2 linked regions of the Diceros bicornis minor genome follow. The protein of the gene in region 2 interacts with the protein of the main gene of each other region in a biochemical or structural test. Links are inferred from orthologs where the notes say so. Each region holds a gene or a part of one and is shown on either strand. Other genes may lie near its edges.

The links.
Region 1: the proteins of TLN1 (region 2) and ITGB1 form a complex in vitro, tested with the Homo sapiens proteins (3 studies listed by BioGRID and IntAct, with this or other methods). The link is inferred for Diceros bicornis minor from reciprocal best matches to the Homo sapiens genes TLN1 and ITGB1.

Annotation. Positions count from the first base shown.
Region 1 is NC_080775.1:31,097,513-31,105,263, forward strand, and holds the start of ITGB1 (integrin beta-1), read right to left. Parts: upstream 3,060-7,751; 5' UTR 2,955-3,059; intron 1-2,954.
Region 2 is NC_080767.1:4,151,500-4,159,417, forward strand, and holds the start of TLN1 (talin-1), read right to left. Parts: upstream 3,070-7,918; 5' UTR 2,703-3,069; intron 1-2,702. Other genes in the region: CREB3 (cyclic AMP-responsive element-binding protein 3), read left to right, coding at 3,377-3,514, 3,619-3,766, 3,843-3,910, 4,025-4,114, 5,205-5,311, 5,444-5,512, 6,138-6,222, 6,320-6,404 and 1 more; GBA2 (non-lysosomal glucosylceramidase), read right to left, coding at 7,266-7,547, 7,820-7,918. UniProt on the Homo sapiens protein: High molecular weight cytoskeletal protein concentrated at regions of cell-matrix and cell-cell contacts. Involved in connections of major cytoskeletal structures to the plasma membrane.

The sequences.
Region 1 (7,751 bases), on a different chromosome or scaffold from region 2:
CTTTTCATGTGCAGAATGTCGAGGGGATTAGAAAAATAATCTTAATATAGAACTTGACATTCTTTTTATTTATTTATTTTTGTGTGTGTGTGAGGAAGATCAGCCCTGAGCTAACGTCCATGCTAATCCTCCTCTTTTTGCTGAGGAAGACCGGCTCTGAGCTAACACCTATTGCCAATCCTCCTCCGTTTTTTTTTTCCCCCAAAGCCCCAGGAGATAGTTGTACGTCATAGTTGCACACCCTTCTAGTTTCTGTATGTGGGACGTGGCCTCAGCATGGCCAGAGAAGCGGTGCGTCAGTGCGCGCCCGGGATCTGAACCTGGGCCGCCAGTAGTGGAGCTCGTGCACTTAACTGCTAAGCCATGGGGCTGGCCCCCAAACTTGACATTCTTTTTAAAAGAATCAACATCACAAAAACAAAAGTTTAGGTCTGTGAAGTCCACGCAGATGACTTAATGTGGAGTTTATCTGCTCTTTATTTACAGAAGTATTAACCACATCCCGTCTTTCTTTTTTTTTAATAACTTTTTAAGTGTAGCAAAATATACATAACATAAAACTCACCATCTTAACTGTTTTTAAGTGTACAATTCACCATATTAAATACATTCACACTGTTGTGCAACCATTACCACCAACCATCTACAGACTCTTCATCTTGCAAAACTGAGTCTGTACTCATTAAACAACAACTCCCACACTCCTTTTCGCCAGCCCCTGGCAACCACCCTTCTACTCCGTCTCTCTGAATCTGGCTTCTCTAGGTACCTCATAGAGGCGGAATCAGACAGTATTTGTCCTTTTGTGACGGGCTTATTTCACTCAGCATAATGTGCTTCCCCTTACTTTTCAAGAGCAGGAAAGTGGGAGCAATGGAGTTGGGCTTCTTTTTAAAAAGTCGTTTCTTGAAATGTTGTTGTCTTCTAATTCAACTAGAGCTCACCATCGCAGATAACAGCTTTGGACATTATGCTCATGCATCCCCTGTCTTTTTAACTGGCATTCTAATAACATCCATTTTATACTGAATTTTAGCATAAGTAAAATGGATTTGCCTCAAACGCCTGTAACCAAAATACTGATTTGTTTCATCTGTTTTCTAATTATCACTGCCTCGTCTTCAGTTACATAATACTGATCACAGAACCAAAATTATTTAAAAATATCACCGTTATTGGGACTCTTAAGTAAGTCCTGTCCCCTCTGGGCCTTGATGTCCACAAACGTAAAATAAATAACTTCCAACTAAAATTCCTTAATCATTTCTAAAAGTAGTCTATTATACAATCTATTGCAAAAGCTGTATTTAGTTTAAGAAAGACGCCAAATCAAAATTCACTTCACATTTATTTTCATACCATCAAAACAACAATAAAAAATAACAACCCAGTAATTCTACCACCTAAGTATCTACGTGGGATGCAGACCCCAAAAAACCTTACTAATGATGTTATCAATTACATGCTGAGATTTTTTTTAATCATTTAATATACTAAGAAGGAAGGAAAAGAGATCAATATTTATTGAGCTTCTACTCTAACCTAAGTGTTTTACATTTTACGTGTGATTTTTCACAACTATACTGTACTTACGGAAGATTACTTGTGGTTCAAACATGGTCTAGACAAGGTTTCTCCACCTACTAGCTGGATGACCACAGGCAAATGACTTATGCTCCCTTCGCCTCAGTTTCTTCATTTATAAAATGGGGATAAAAACGGCACCTACCTCACGGATCAGTTCCAGAATTAAACGACAAAATACATGTAAAAGTGCCTAGAGCTACACATGGCCCTCACTGTCGTTCTTATAATAATTAATTACTACTGTTATTAGTGTAGGTATTCTTGTTCCCATTTCAAAGATAAGGAAATGGAAGCTTAAAGAATGTAAATGACTAGTGATCATACCAACCAGTACTAGGTTTTGACTCAAAAGCACAAATTTGATCAAATAAAAATTACTTAGGCATTAAACACTGGTATTCTTAAAAATAGAACTTGTTTTTAGGAAGCATAAGAAATGACACATAGTAAGCCGGCATCAGAACCGGTCGGGCACTAAACCCTGCGGGGACGCCGGGAGGGCCGGCCGGGCCCTGCGCGCTCAGGGCGCCCGGCCCAGGACGCGGCTCCCTCCGGCCCCTGCGGGCGCCGGCCGCCCCGCCTGCCGAGGTATCCGGCACTCCAGTGCGGCTCTTTTAAATATTAAGCGGAAAAAAAAAAACCCCACCATATGCCAACGCTGCGCCCTCTTCTCCTAGCTGCTCTCCGACGCCCCCTCTTGTTCAGGTCCACCCCCCCTTCATCCCACGCCACAGGCGCTGAGAGCCAGCACCCAACTTCTGGAAGTGGGAAGGACGAACAATTTTCCTTATGTGGAAGCTAATGACTAAGCTCAACGTTGCTCAAAGAAAGAGCAGCCCGCGCCCGAGACGGAGACAAAGAGCAACTGTCAAGGATCGTTCCAAGTCCTGGGACGGCGCGTCCCGGGAGGCCCCGTCCGCGCCCGCACTGCGCGCCGCGGCGGCGGAGGGGACCCGGGCGCGCGGGGCGAGCTCCCTCTCCGGCGCCCAGGCCGCGCGTCCGGCACGGGGCGCTGTGAATGGCAGGCGTCTGAGCGGCCGGTCGGGGCCCCGGTCCTCGCACCCCGCGCCCCCGACGTGACAGCGCCCAGGCCGGCGACCCTCCCACTCGGACCGCGGGGGCCGGCTCTGCGCGCTCGGGCCGCCGGCGCGCGGGAGGGACGGAGGCGGCGGGGAGGGGGCCAAGGTCCGCGAGAGAAGCCTGGAGGGCGGGCGCCGGCCGGACTTCCCTTCCTGCCCGAAGGCTGGAATCCGCCTCCCCCACCCCGGCCGGACAGAGAGGTCCCGGCCTGGCCGCGGCGGGCGGCCCGAGGTCCGGCCGCGCACCCGGGCCCGGAGGCCGCCGCCCGCCCCGTGCCGGGCCCCTACCTTCTCCGGGCGGCGTCCGGGCCCCGGCCGGTCGGCTTGGGCCTGCTGCTCCGCGGCTCCCGCTCGGCCTCTCCCGAGGGCTGGCGCGGCCTCCCGGTCTCGGGCGCGGCGGGCGGCGGCGACCCCGCCTCCTCGGGGGCGGGAGGAGGAGACTCGGCCCCCGGAGCCGCCTCCCGCAGGAAACGACCCCCGCGGCACCGCCTCCTCGGCGCGGCCGAGCCTGCTCCTCGGGCCGCCGCCGCCGCCCTCTCCCTCCGGAAGCGCATTCCTCTCCGGCCGCGTCAGCCGCGCCCCAGGCGAGGAGGAGGCGCGGGCGGCGGAGGCGGCGGGAAGACCGAGGCCGGGACAAAGGAGCTGGCCCGGGGAGCCGCGCTGGGAGGGCGGGGCACGGGACCGGCGGAGGCCTTCGCCGTGCCTCAGTTTTCTTTTCTGCTAAGCGGGAGCGGGAGGTGTAAGGCCTCGGCGAGCGTTAATCGTATCCTCCCATAAGAGAAGGCCGGACGGGCCGTGGGCAACCCGGGGCGGGACTCTCCTTTTCCGCCTCTCTTAGGTTCTGCTTCCCCGAAGCCGCAGGTCTGTCTGTCCGACCCACCGTCCCGTTTGCCGGGGGGACTGTCCCGGGAGCCCCTTCAGTCCCAGGCAAATCGAGGCAGGGCTTCGTGGGGCCCGAAAATGTTTTCCTTTTGAAAGGGAATTAGCCAAAGCCAATACTGTTTTTCTGGAGTGATAGTTTGCTTGGCTTATGTGTATGAGGAAGGTGAAGACTTAGGAAGGAGATGGGTGCCAACAAAGATGGAGACGAAGAATATTTTAGAGAATAACTGGTGAGTTGGGGAGTTGCTTTTGTTACATTAATCTGGAGGTCCATTTATGGGGAACAGGCATGTGAAGGAAAAGTTTCATCCTTAAGAATACAGTTTCTTTTGATTTTCACTTTTTTTAGTAGGTGGAGATGGGGGCTGGAGAAGGAACATTTAAAAGAGAAGGGAAACATTCATTACGAGAATGGCTGGGCACATTTTGATAAGAGAATTGAAACCTGTGCCAACATCATACTGAAACCCAGTAATTCAGAATATGCTGTTGACAAGCTGCCATTCTGTTAGAAAATGTGAGTTGCCAGCTGGTGAGCTGCAGCACCCCGTGGGGAATAGAGCTCAAATTATGAGATTTGTGAAACTGAGAAGTAGTGTTTCACTTGGGGGAGATTAGAAGCTGGGATGCCCATTTGATTGCCAATCTTAAATAAGAGAAAATAAAATAATACCATCTATGGAAAATTTGCACATTGCTCACCAGCAAAAGCAAATCTGTTGACTAGATAATCTCTGAAAACCTCTAAAGAAGTTAGCATGATCTTTCCCACTTAATGGTTGACCAAGGTTAAGAGGCTGAATGATGTTTCTATATTAGTAACCCAATTGTAAAGCTGCCACTAGACCTCAACATTCTTGAATTTAAAGGTGTTGGTTATACCACTATTCCAAATGAATCAGAATTGGCTGAGGCTCAGCATAGGAAATTATAGTTCTAAAGATAAAGTGGAATTGATTGATGCTTGATTTGCACTACATTTCCCAGAATTTTCTTCCCTGTATATGATTTGAGGAGGCGATCTTTGCCACAAGAACATTATGAGTTTTACGTTTGCACAACCCTAAACTAAATTAGTTCAAGGGCAGTTTAATTATCTTTTTAATCCCAGGGTCAAACACTGTTCCAGGACACATAATGGGGGCTCAGCTAATGTTTGATAAATGAATAAATGGGTCCTTTTGCTACCCTGGGACCAGGCCAGAGCATTTGGCTAAACTGAAGTGTGAGTAACAATTTATGTATGAGAGTCATGAGCTTTGAGGAAAAGAGAAATTAAAGAAACATGTTCTTTAAGATAAGCAGTGATTGGTCAGGAGTATGACTCTACTTGTAATTTCATATAAATATTAACCGATGGACAGTTAGCTAACTATAAAATTTTTGAACACTCCAAACAAGGGTTGGTCAGTCACCATGCGCAACAGGAAATCCTGGTAAGTAAGAATAGTGGGAGTCACATTGCTTAACCACATCATGATAGAACATCTAATAGTATTTTGAATTTAAGACAAATCATACTTTACCTACACTGTCTCCCAATTATTATAAATTGTCTTCTGACATCTCGTCATAACTCATTATGTCAAATAATTAAAAGTTGGCCTTTCCTTTAGTTTTGGCGCCATACTACCATATACTCTTCAAAATGTCTTTATTCACCTACTGTTTTCCGAAGTAAAGTTTCAAAGTTGTTCACCAGCAAAGACTTGATTGGATGCCCAAGTTCATTTTAATCATTAATAATTACAAATTACAGATAATAATTACAAATATTTCTATTTTTAATTAAAGGATAGGCTTACATAAATGAAAGGAACCATTAATATTAAGTCAGGTACAAAAGAGCCTAAAGGCTTCTCTAGAAACCTGATTATCTCTTTCAAACATCACAGTTTGATTACTGCCCTTCAGATCTAGTAGGTTGTATTTAATCACCTGATTATGGAATATGGGATTGGGAGGGAGAGTGAGTGGAGAGCTGTCTTTTTCTTGTAGTTTGAGCACTCTTGGGACTTAGCCTTTCAAATATGACTCCATCCAGTAAATCACAAATCATCCTATGCTAACTTGAATGCTTTTCAGTCTTTCAGAGTGGAAACAACCCTAACCAGTGTAAACTTTTGTGGGCAGGTAGCTCAGTACACATTCCTTTATAAATCATTTACCACATGCAACAGTCATCAGAGGGCAAGACCTCATGGGGTTTGAACAAAGGATGAATACCTGCATTGTGAGAATAGTATACCCAAGACCAAATATTTTTTGGTATTGGCCATTGACTGACACATTGTGGCACAATCCATACCAGATCATTTTTAAGTAAGCAGGGTGACTTTGTGTCCCGGTATGCCCAAGATAGCCCCAGTTTGTCTGTTGTCCAAGCATAATTATCAATAGCACCCCTTTTCAGTCTCAAAAGTACATCCTGATATGGTTAATAGATTATATGGTCAGTCACCCTATAAATAAGAGTGTCCAGACAATGAATAATGAGAAGAGTAGTTTTAGAAATTCAAAGGGGATACACAGGGACACTGCAAATCAGGCTCCAGGTTGATAGGTGAAGACTAATTCTAACATTGATGATAAGGAAAAAAATTGTGTGGGGCAGGAGTGTGCTGAATTAGGCAGTTCCTATGTGATGAAAATGCCCTACTAGGAGATTTAATTAAGGAAAATCCTTGGAAGTAGCCTGGCTAATCAACAAGACTTGGGTTTTAAATACCATTTAAATATCTGTGATGGCTTCTGGAGCAGACTGATTGACAGTGGCTAGTGAGTCTTCAGCCTCTTTTCTAAGAACTGTTTCTACAGAGTGACCTAGATATATTTTTCTCATCTGCCACCTCCGGATGCTTAGAATTTAACTCCTTTAAACATTAAAAAAAGAAAAAGACAGCGGATGGGGATAGAAGGAATAGAAGTCTCTGATAATGCCCTCTAATACTAACGTGGAGGTGCTTCTGAATCATAAATAACTCCATTCCTTTTTCTGAGAAACTAAACTCCCTCTATTAAAATGTGAATCTGTGTGCTTTGGTAAAAAAAGCAGCCCTGGGAATTACTGGCATTTTGAAAAACAAGAAATGGTAAGACAGTCCTTCTAGTTCCTCCTTTTTCTGTCTCCAAATATATAAATAATATGCAAATAATCATATAGTGTAGAAAAACTGGAAGTTTATTTATTTTGCAACTTTTTGTTTTGGCTTGATGGCTTCAATTTAGAGAGCACTCCTCAATGCCCTGCCATAATTTCCAGAGGACCCATGAAAAATTCAGTTTGCTGCAAGGCAGCCACCCACCTTGTACATATGGCAGGTGTCTGTATTTGACTAGCCTGTCCTGAGGCTTTAGTTAGTGCTTTATTCCTTTGCTTATTTAAAAGTAAGGTGGCAAATGTCAGAACAGTCTGGCCTGATTTGCAATGTGTCCCTTATAGTTTAGGCTAGCCATTAAGTCTTTTCCTTTTCTAGATAGTTAACAGTTGCTAGATTATGGCTTTGAATATGGGTCACGTCTGAGCAAAGCTGCCTCAACCGGTTCTGCTTCCTGATATAGCATCCCCGCTTTTGGTCCTGCTCAGTCCGTGGAGTATTGCCTCCACTGGGTGGGAGCATTCCCTGCCAGCATTCAGATGCTGAACATTTTTAAGAGCCCAGAGGAAACAGTGTTTTTAGGCAGCTCTTTTCAGACACTGGGTTTCTTCAGCTGGAGAAGGGAATGTGCCTTCCCAAATAAGAATGAAGAATATGCCAAATATAAGCAGTTGAATAGCACTGGAGTTATTTTTAGGAACCAGGGTCACTCAATAGAGGAAATGATGGTGCTACCAACAAGTTATGGCTAGTGACTATAAAACAACATTCTTTGTTTCCTCATTTAACTCCTTTTAAGAATATTTGGCAATTTGAATTAAGAGCAGCCTGATTTGAGGCCTGATTCATTAGGGAGTCGGAAGTCTAGGTCAGTTAAAAGATACGTTTGTTTGGTAAGTAAAAGCACCCTATTTCCCCAAATTAATCCCCATAATGTTATCTAAGATTGAGTTCTTGCTGTGTACCAATATATGGGAAACCGTGTGTCTATGAACCCCCTAAAATTTGTAGACAAAATTTCATTTATACATATAGATCTGCATTTCTGCAGATATTTCTGGTTTAAATGGTATCTTAACCCCAAAACATTAAGAATCACTATTTT
Region 2 (7,918 bases):
AGAGGCAGGCTGGTTGAAGCGCAGCATACCTGCAAGGGAGCAGTGATGGGGAAGTTAAGATGAGGATGGAAAGGCTGGTGAGAACTAGGGAGAGTATGAGGAATGATACCTACTAGGGGGCAACAGGAGGCCAAGGGAGGCTTTCAGCAGAGACGGGACATAACCAGAACCAGATTTTAGGAAAATAACTCTGGCAGTTACCTTGGAGATTAGTTAGAAGGATACTGCATTAGCAGAAGTGAGGGGTAATGAAGCCAGAGTTAGAAGGGTGGAGAGGATGTCACTCATCAGAAATTTTAAGAGGTAGAACTGATAGGAACTGATGACAGTCTGTCCTGTCAACCCTCAGGGACCAGGGCCCAAAGTCAGGCTGGGGTCCCATAGCTTCTTGTCATCAGCAGTCACTCAGTGGCTGGGCAGCTTGAGTTTAGGTCAGGAATTGGGAAGGGGGGAAAGAAAGTATAAGGACAAGCTGGGAATGTGAAGATGAGGCTGTGGTTAGGAGATGTGGTTAGGCTGAGGGAAAAAGGGATGGGGATGTGGTTAGTACCAGGTAGAGGGGCAGAAGGGATGAGGTCAGTGACTGCATTGGGCTGGAAATGGGGAAGATGAGGTGTAGAGAAAGGCTGGGGAAGATGGTAGGAAAAATACATATATGATCAGTCACTAGATCAGGCTGGGGGAAACGGAAGAATAATTATGTGGACAGTGGCTAAGTCAGGGAATGATGCAGTGAGGTCAGAAGCCAGGTCAGGCTACGAGACTGAGAAGAGAGGGAGCTGTGGTCAGTGGCTAAATTAGGATGGGATGGGCAAAGAGTGAAGGGACACCAGCAGTGTCTAAGTAAAGCTGGAGTTGGGGGTGGTGCATGGGGTGCAGCCAGTGGCTGGGTCAGGCTCGGTAGGGGATAGTGCTGTGGTCAGTGGCAGGGTCAGGCTGGGAGTGAAATGGGGGTGTGGTCAGTGGCCTGGCTGGGCGTGGGATCAGCAAGACCCAGTTTCCTCTTTGGGTCTCATTTCCTCTTTTCTGTCAGGGGAGTGGGGGAAGGGGATCTACAAGTGGACCAAGAAATTAAGGCTTAGAATCAGGGATGGAACACAGCAGGCATCGGAAGTACTTGGCAGTTGTGTTGGGCTGGGGCTGGAGTATTCAGCAGATGATCAGGAGGTATTCAGGTAGATGAGCGGGTGAAAATGGTGGGAGAGTGCTTTAAGATGATGGGAAAGCTCAGAGTTGGGCGACAGTAAATTAAGGTAGGATGTGTGCGGATTAAGGGGTGGGAAGAGAGGCAAAACTGAGGCTGGGAACACATGGCAAAATGAAGAACATGAGAGAGTTAAAGACAAGGGAAGCATTCTGTAAGGGGGTATGCAAGAAGGGTGTGAAATGCAGGGCCAGGGAGGAGAGCTGGAGTGGAGAGCTTAACATTGAGAGAATGAGGAGAATGGGAAGCAATGGGGCTGAACTTTCAGAGGATCAGTCATCCCCCGCTCCTGTGGCAACAGTGTTTTCTTGGTCTGCTTCCCCCTTAGTCACCAGTCCCCTTTCCTCTAGGCAGTCCCCTACTCAGGACTAGGCCTTACACATCTCCTGGGTCCCTGTCCCTTTCCCACCTCCTATCTTGTAAACAACATAGTCCACGAACCTCTGCCCCTCAACTGTTGTGGCCACAGCAAGAGCCTTGGGCTTAGAGAGTAGAATAAAGCAGCTGGAGTCCCAGATGCCTGCAATTCTAGCTGAAACCCAGAACCCTAGCCTGAAAATAGTCTGTCATTTCTCTGGGCCAAAGAAGCCCCTGCGACTACACAGAAATGAGAGACCTCCTCGCAAAACAGGGCCTCTACCTACCACTAATCTTAAATTTCACGTGTCCGAGATCCACTATCCTGACCTCAACCACAACCCCTAAAACTGCCCCTAATTCCTAACACTAACCCCAACCCTAATGTGTTTCCTGTTTCCCAGTACTGGCTTTGACATTCACCCCTTTCCTAGCAGACACCTGTATCCAATCCCTGATTTCTAATATTTACCTTTAAATGGTGCTAAAAAGCACCAAAGCCCCTGACCTTAACCCTAAATGTTGACCCCTAGGTCTAAAGCTCATTTGCCACTTGATTCCTGACCCACCTCTTCACTTTTTATCCCTAATACTGACTATGCCAACGTTCTCTTATCCCTAAAACTAGACTTCCAACCTAATTCCTGTTATTGACCTCTAACCTGACCCTGAACCGTAACTTTGACTTATCTTGGCCACCCTAAAAAACAAAATAATGACCGTAATCCAAACTTCACCTACATAAAACGGACCTGACTCACACTAATAACACTAAATTTTAACCCCGGCTTCATACCTCCTAAAACTAACCTTGAGTCCTAAACCGAACTCCACCTAATCCCAAACTCACCCAAAGCTTTCCTATCCACATACCCGCTGATCCTCAAAGCCGATCCCCGCCCTGCGCCTCACTACCACCCCACTCCTCGCCCTCCCCAAAACCTATCCCAGGCCGAGGACTGCTCCCAGGAGGGGGCTGGCTCCCGCAAAACGGCCTACTTAACTCCGAGCCCAAACCGAGATACACTGGCCGCTGACCTCTCCAACAGGACCCGCAGGAGGAGACGCAGGAGGGTCGGGGCCCCGCCCGCCCGCCTCCCGGCCCCATCCTGAGGTTCCGGCTGGGCCCAGTCCGGCCTACCTGCGCTGCCCGGCTCTGTGCCCCGCCCGCCGGCCCGCTACCGGGCTCGCTCGTCCTCCCGGTGGCTCTCGGGCTCCGGCCTCGCCCTCCCTTCGACACTCCGGCGGCCACTTCCGTCCCCGGAGCGTCCCCCACCCGCGGGCGGCGCCCTGTGCCCGCGCTCTATGGTTTCGGGGACTGAAGGAAGCTGCTCTGGCCCCAGCTCTCGATGCTCGGGAACCCTCCGAAGACCCGCAGGCCCTCCCTGGCAGGAAGCAAGGCTGCGGCGCGATCCGGAGAAGACGCCCCAGTTCCCTTTTAGGCTCGAATCCTTCCTTTTTCTAGCTTGGGGCGAAGGCGGAGCCGCATCCCAGAATGCCCGCCCTCAGGCTGTGAGGAAGCAGCAGAATGCCCGCCCCCTCGATTTGCATGGCTCCCGGGACGTGGCGCCACTTCCGCACTAGGGGAACTCCGTGTCCCAGAATGCCTTGGGGGCATGGGCGTCACTTCCGTTGTGTTGGAAGCCGGGGAGACTTGAGTTCAGGAGGCGTGTCCCCTTTGAGAGCGTCGGCTAGCAGCTCCGGGGCAAGCCCGGTTGAAGACGGACTGACGTTAGGGGAGTGTCTTGCATGGGGTTCGGGGTTGGGGCCAGGTGGAGGGGCGAACCCCTGTGTTTCTACGCATCCTTTCCGTAGATGTCCCATATGGAGCTGCCGTCGGACCCGGGTGACCAAGACCTGCTGGACTTCCTGCTAGAGGAAAGCGGAGATTTGGGGGCGGCGATCCACGAGGCCGTGGAGGCTCCGCTAGACTGGGAGCTGCCGCTTTCTGAGGTGGGTACGGGCTCCGAGTCGGGGAGGCGCGGGGCGGGGAGGGGGGCGTCCTTGAGGCAGGGGGTGGTGATAGGTCAAGGCCTGTTAATTTGAACCCTGTGCAGGTACTGAGGGATTGGGAGGCCGAGGATTTCCTGAGCTCTCTGCTGAGTCCCCCAGCGTCGTTGAACGTTCTCAACTCTTCTAACTCCTGTCCTGTCCACCATGATCACACCTACTCTGTACCACAGGAACATATTTCCATAGATCTAGGTGAGTCTGAAGTAAGAGAAGTTTTGGGAGAGGAGAGGACTGATGGGCTTGGCTATTCATATTTTCTCTTTTGCAGATAGCGGGAGCTATGGAAAAGAGGGGGCCCAGATGACTCCATTGCATGTAGAGGAGCCAGCAGAGCAGGTACTTGATTTGATTTACGGAGGAATATTCCCACATTGCATGGGTGGAGGTAGGATTCCCCATTCCTCTCTGATATTGCCTTGCAACTTTGCTGCCACCTCCCTGGAACCCCAGGAGATTGCTAGGCTGATACTGACAGATGAGGAGAAGAGGCTGTTGGAGAAGGAGGGGCTTACTCTGCCTGGGACACTTCCTCTCACTAAGGTAAGACTCCCATTGGTGGAGCAAGGCAGCAAAGGAAGTTGAGCCCCAAGTAGGCCAATTCTGTTAATTTTATATCAGTAACTTGAAAAAGGACTGAGGTGAGAAATTTAGCAAATTCCCTGCTAATAGGAAGCTGGTGCATGTAGTTAATATGCTGGATGCAAGAGCTGCTCCTGGTTTTGTGGGGCTTATAAAAATTTTGGTGTTTTCTTTAAGAAAAAAGAATTCCACATTATCAGTGCAACATTAGTATAGGGCATTGGAAAGGACTGTGCAAGTGAGGGGCCCTGACACATTTCACTGGCTTCGTGGTAATCCACCTCTTGTTGAATGGTAGAATTAAGTTTTAGAGAGTTTATCAAGGCTGGACCAAGCAATATAACAGGAATAAATGTAAAATTCTGAGCTTTAAGTTTCAAGCAACAAATGGCAACTTCACAAGCACAATATTGTGACACTGTGATGAAATCGACATTCACTGACAGAAAGGTTAAGAGAATTTTAATTTCTTAAAAGTACAAGATGAGTCAGCAATGTGATATGGCTACTAAGAAAGTGAATGGGGTTTGGAGGCTGTAATCAATAGAGGTGTTGCCTCTAGAAGGGCAGTGACTATCTCTCTTCTTTATACTGGCCAGAGCACATCTGAGTGTTTAGTTTTGAACCCAGATCTTTGACAGATATTAAACGGATGCAGTCCATACTGATAAGATGACGAGTTAAAAATTTTGCCCAGATTTTTTTTGACTCTGAAGAAATGTCAAGCGCCTTAAAATAGCTCAAGATCATTTGTTCTATATGGCCCCAGAGATTAGGTACTAGGTAAGTCCAAAGGCTAGAAATTAGAGAGGCAGATGTTGGCTCAGGATAAGGAAGGTTTTTTTTTTTTTTAATTAAAATTATTAAAAGGGTCCGGCCTATGAGGGCATTAACACCTGGTCCTTGGAGGCATTCAGACAGAAGCCAAGTGCCTGTTTGTCAGAGAAGCTGTAGAAGGGATTCCTGCACTGGGAAGAAGATTGAACTCAGTTGCATTCCAACTCTTTGGTCCAGTGTTCCTCTGATGATAACTTTTCCTGCCTTCTCTCAGATGGAAGAACAAGTTCTGAAACGAGTACGGAGGAAGATTCGAAACAAAAAGTCTGCTCAGGAGAGCCGCAGGAAGAAGAAGGTGTATGTGGGGGGTTTAGAGAACAGGTATAAACGGGAGAGGGACTCGGTGGTGGGGTATTGGAATTGGAGTTCCAATACCTTCCAAAAGTATTGCAAGTGTTAGGTTTTTGAAGGGAGGATACAGGCCACATCCCCACATCCCTGTTATTCCCCTAGGGTCTTGAAATACACAGCCCAGAATCTGGAGCTACAGAACAGAGTACAGCTCCTGGAGGAACAGAATCTGTAAGCAGCTCTGCAACATCAGTCCCTTCTCATCCCTCCTATTTGGCGCTGTCTCACTTTTTCCTTTGCTCCACACTTGATTTCTAACTGGGCAGCTCCCACATGCAAGGTCTGGTGGTTGGCCCTTACTGGGTCTCTAATTCCAAGCAGCTCACAGTAATGGCGAGTAAATTCACAAGTAACTAATGATAAGTACCAAGAAAGAGAGAGGAGAAAGAGTAAGAAAGACCTCATGGGGCAGATGGTATTTAATAGCAGATAGGATTCTTGTGGGGGTGTTGAGAGTATTCTAGGTAGAGACCACAGCATAGTCCAGTCTGACTGGAACTCTTTAACATGAGTGGAGTCAGAAGGAAGAGAACATAGAATGCCTGGTGAGAATTATGTGCATAGCTGATGGGGCAGTGTAGGAAGTACTGAAGGTATGTGCAAAAGAGTTTTAAGTCACGCCAGAGCAGAGGGATATTTTAATGAGGAACTTCAGGCATTTTGTCCACAGAGAGAAGTCATTTGCAAAAAGTAAGAGAGGATCCAGTGCACAGACGGAGGGAGTGGCCTTAACAGGAGGGTTTCACTGTATCTCAGGGTGCCAGGCCAGGGGCTGCTCACTGCCCTCTTCCCCTAGGTCTCTTCTGGATCAGCTGAGGAGACTCCAGGCCATGATGATTCAGATATCAAACAAAACCAGCAGCAGCAGCACCTGTGTTCTGGTGAGGATGCTGATGGAAGGAGAGATCCTCTTCTCAGGCAGCAGGGACAGGGATGCAATCAAGAGCCCTTCATCACCTCCTGTTTCCTGTACTCCAGGTCCTACTGTTCTCCTTCTGTCTCCTCCTCGTACCTGCTATGTACTCTTCTGACACAAGGGGGAGCCTGCCAGCTGAGCGTGGAGGTGAGAGGCTTGAGGATACCATTAAGGGCGGGCTAGGGGAGAAGCCTGGCTTGCCTCTAAAGAGTCTTTGTCTTCTCAGTGTTGTCCCGCCAGCTTCGTGCCCTCCCCAGTGAGGACCCTCACCAGCTGGAGCCGCCTGCCCTGCAGTCAGAGGCACCAAAGGACAGCTCAGACCACGTGCTCCAAGCTCCTGGCAACTCTTGCTGCCTGTTCTACCACGTGCTTCAGGCTCTTGGCGCAGAGCCTCCCCTGAAGTTGCCACTCCCTGACCCCTTCTCAAAGTCCCCCTGTCCAGGTCCTATCTTTCCTCTGCACACAAATCGCACGGGAGGGGGGATGACTTCCTACTCACAGCCCCACACCTGTCATCTTGCAGGGCCCATACTTAGGCTAGATGTGAGGATGTGGGGGACCTCAGCAAGAGCCTGGGGCCCCCAGTCTGTGTCCAAATAAAAAGGAGTGGGAGAGGGCTAGCCTCAGCTCCTGTGCCCTGTCAGGAAGCCTGAGGGCTCAAACACACCACACTTAACTGGCTTTCTGGGTCTTTTATTTGTACCCATGTATGTCTATCACTCCACGAATGGGCCTGGGGGAATCAACTGACCTCCTTGAACATTTCATGCAGTGAGCGAAAGGAGTGAGGAAAGAAATAAATAAGTGATTCTGATGCCTGGGTCAACCTCAACCCCTCTTTACTGGCGCAGTTGGGTGGGGAGAAGGGAAAGGGATATGATTGTCCTGGTGGCTCAGGGATGCAGGAGACTGGGGAGGGTGCGGGTGGGGGGTGGGGGGCCAGGGGCCAGAGGGAAGGCCAGGTTGGAGAATGGACTGTTAGTGCCTCCCTCCCACAGTTCAGAGAGCTCACTCTAGGCTCAGGTTTGCCATGGCTTCCTTTGGTCCAAATTTAGGCCCTGTGCTTAGTCCTGTACCCTGTTCGGCTTTTGGCCTTGAGGCTTTTTTATGCTGCTGCTGCTGCTGCAGGGCCAGCTGCATGGCCCAGATGCTCAATGGCCGCATGTAGGCCAGCGAGCGGTACACCTGCTGCTGGCAGTATGCCTCAGGAGTTTGGAAGGCCAGGCCCAGGCGCTCCCAGACGGTACGGTAGCAGCCTTCCGCTGTCCGGAAGCCCTCCCAAGTCAGGCCCTGTAGGGAGAGATGGCAGTCATATTACTTGACAACCCCTGACCTCAGGTCAGCTGGAGAGATGGAGACAATAGGATCTCTGCCCTCGGGGAGCTCCTAGCTAGTACAGGGAGAATCCTGAAGGCAGGAGATGGAATGCCGGCCAGGGAAAAGGCCGAGGCTTTCTAGATGGATCAGATGGGATGGGTTAGGCCGTACAGAAGTGTGACAGCTGAGGAAGTTTGCTGGGCCAAGGTATAGATGGTGGAGAGATGGGGAAGGGAGCACATTACCTCCTGGATCATGGTGGCTGCCAGTCCATAGACCACACCCACCCAGACTTCATCAGACTGGACACTGGTTCTATCAGGGACACCATGGGGCTGCATCCC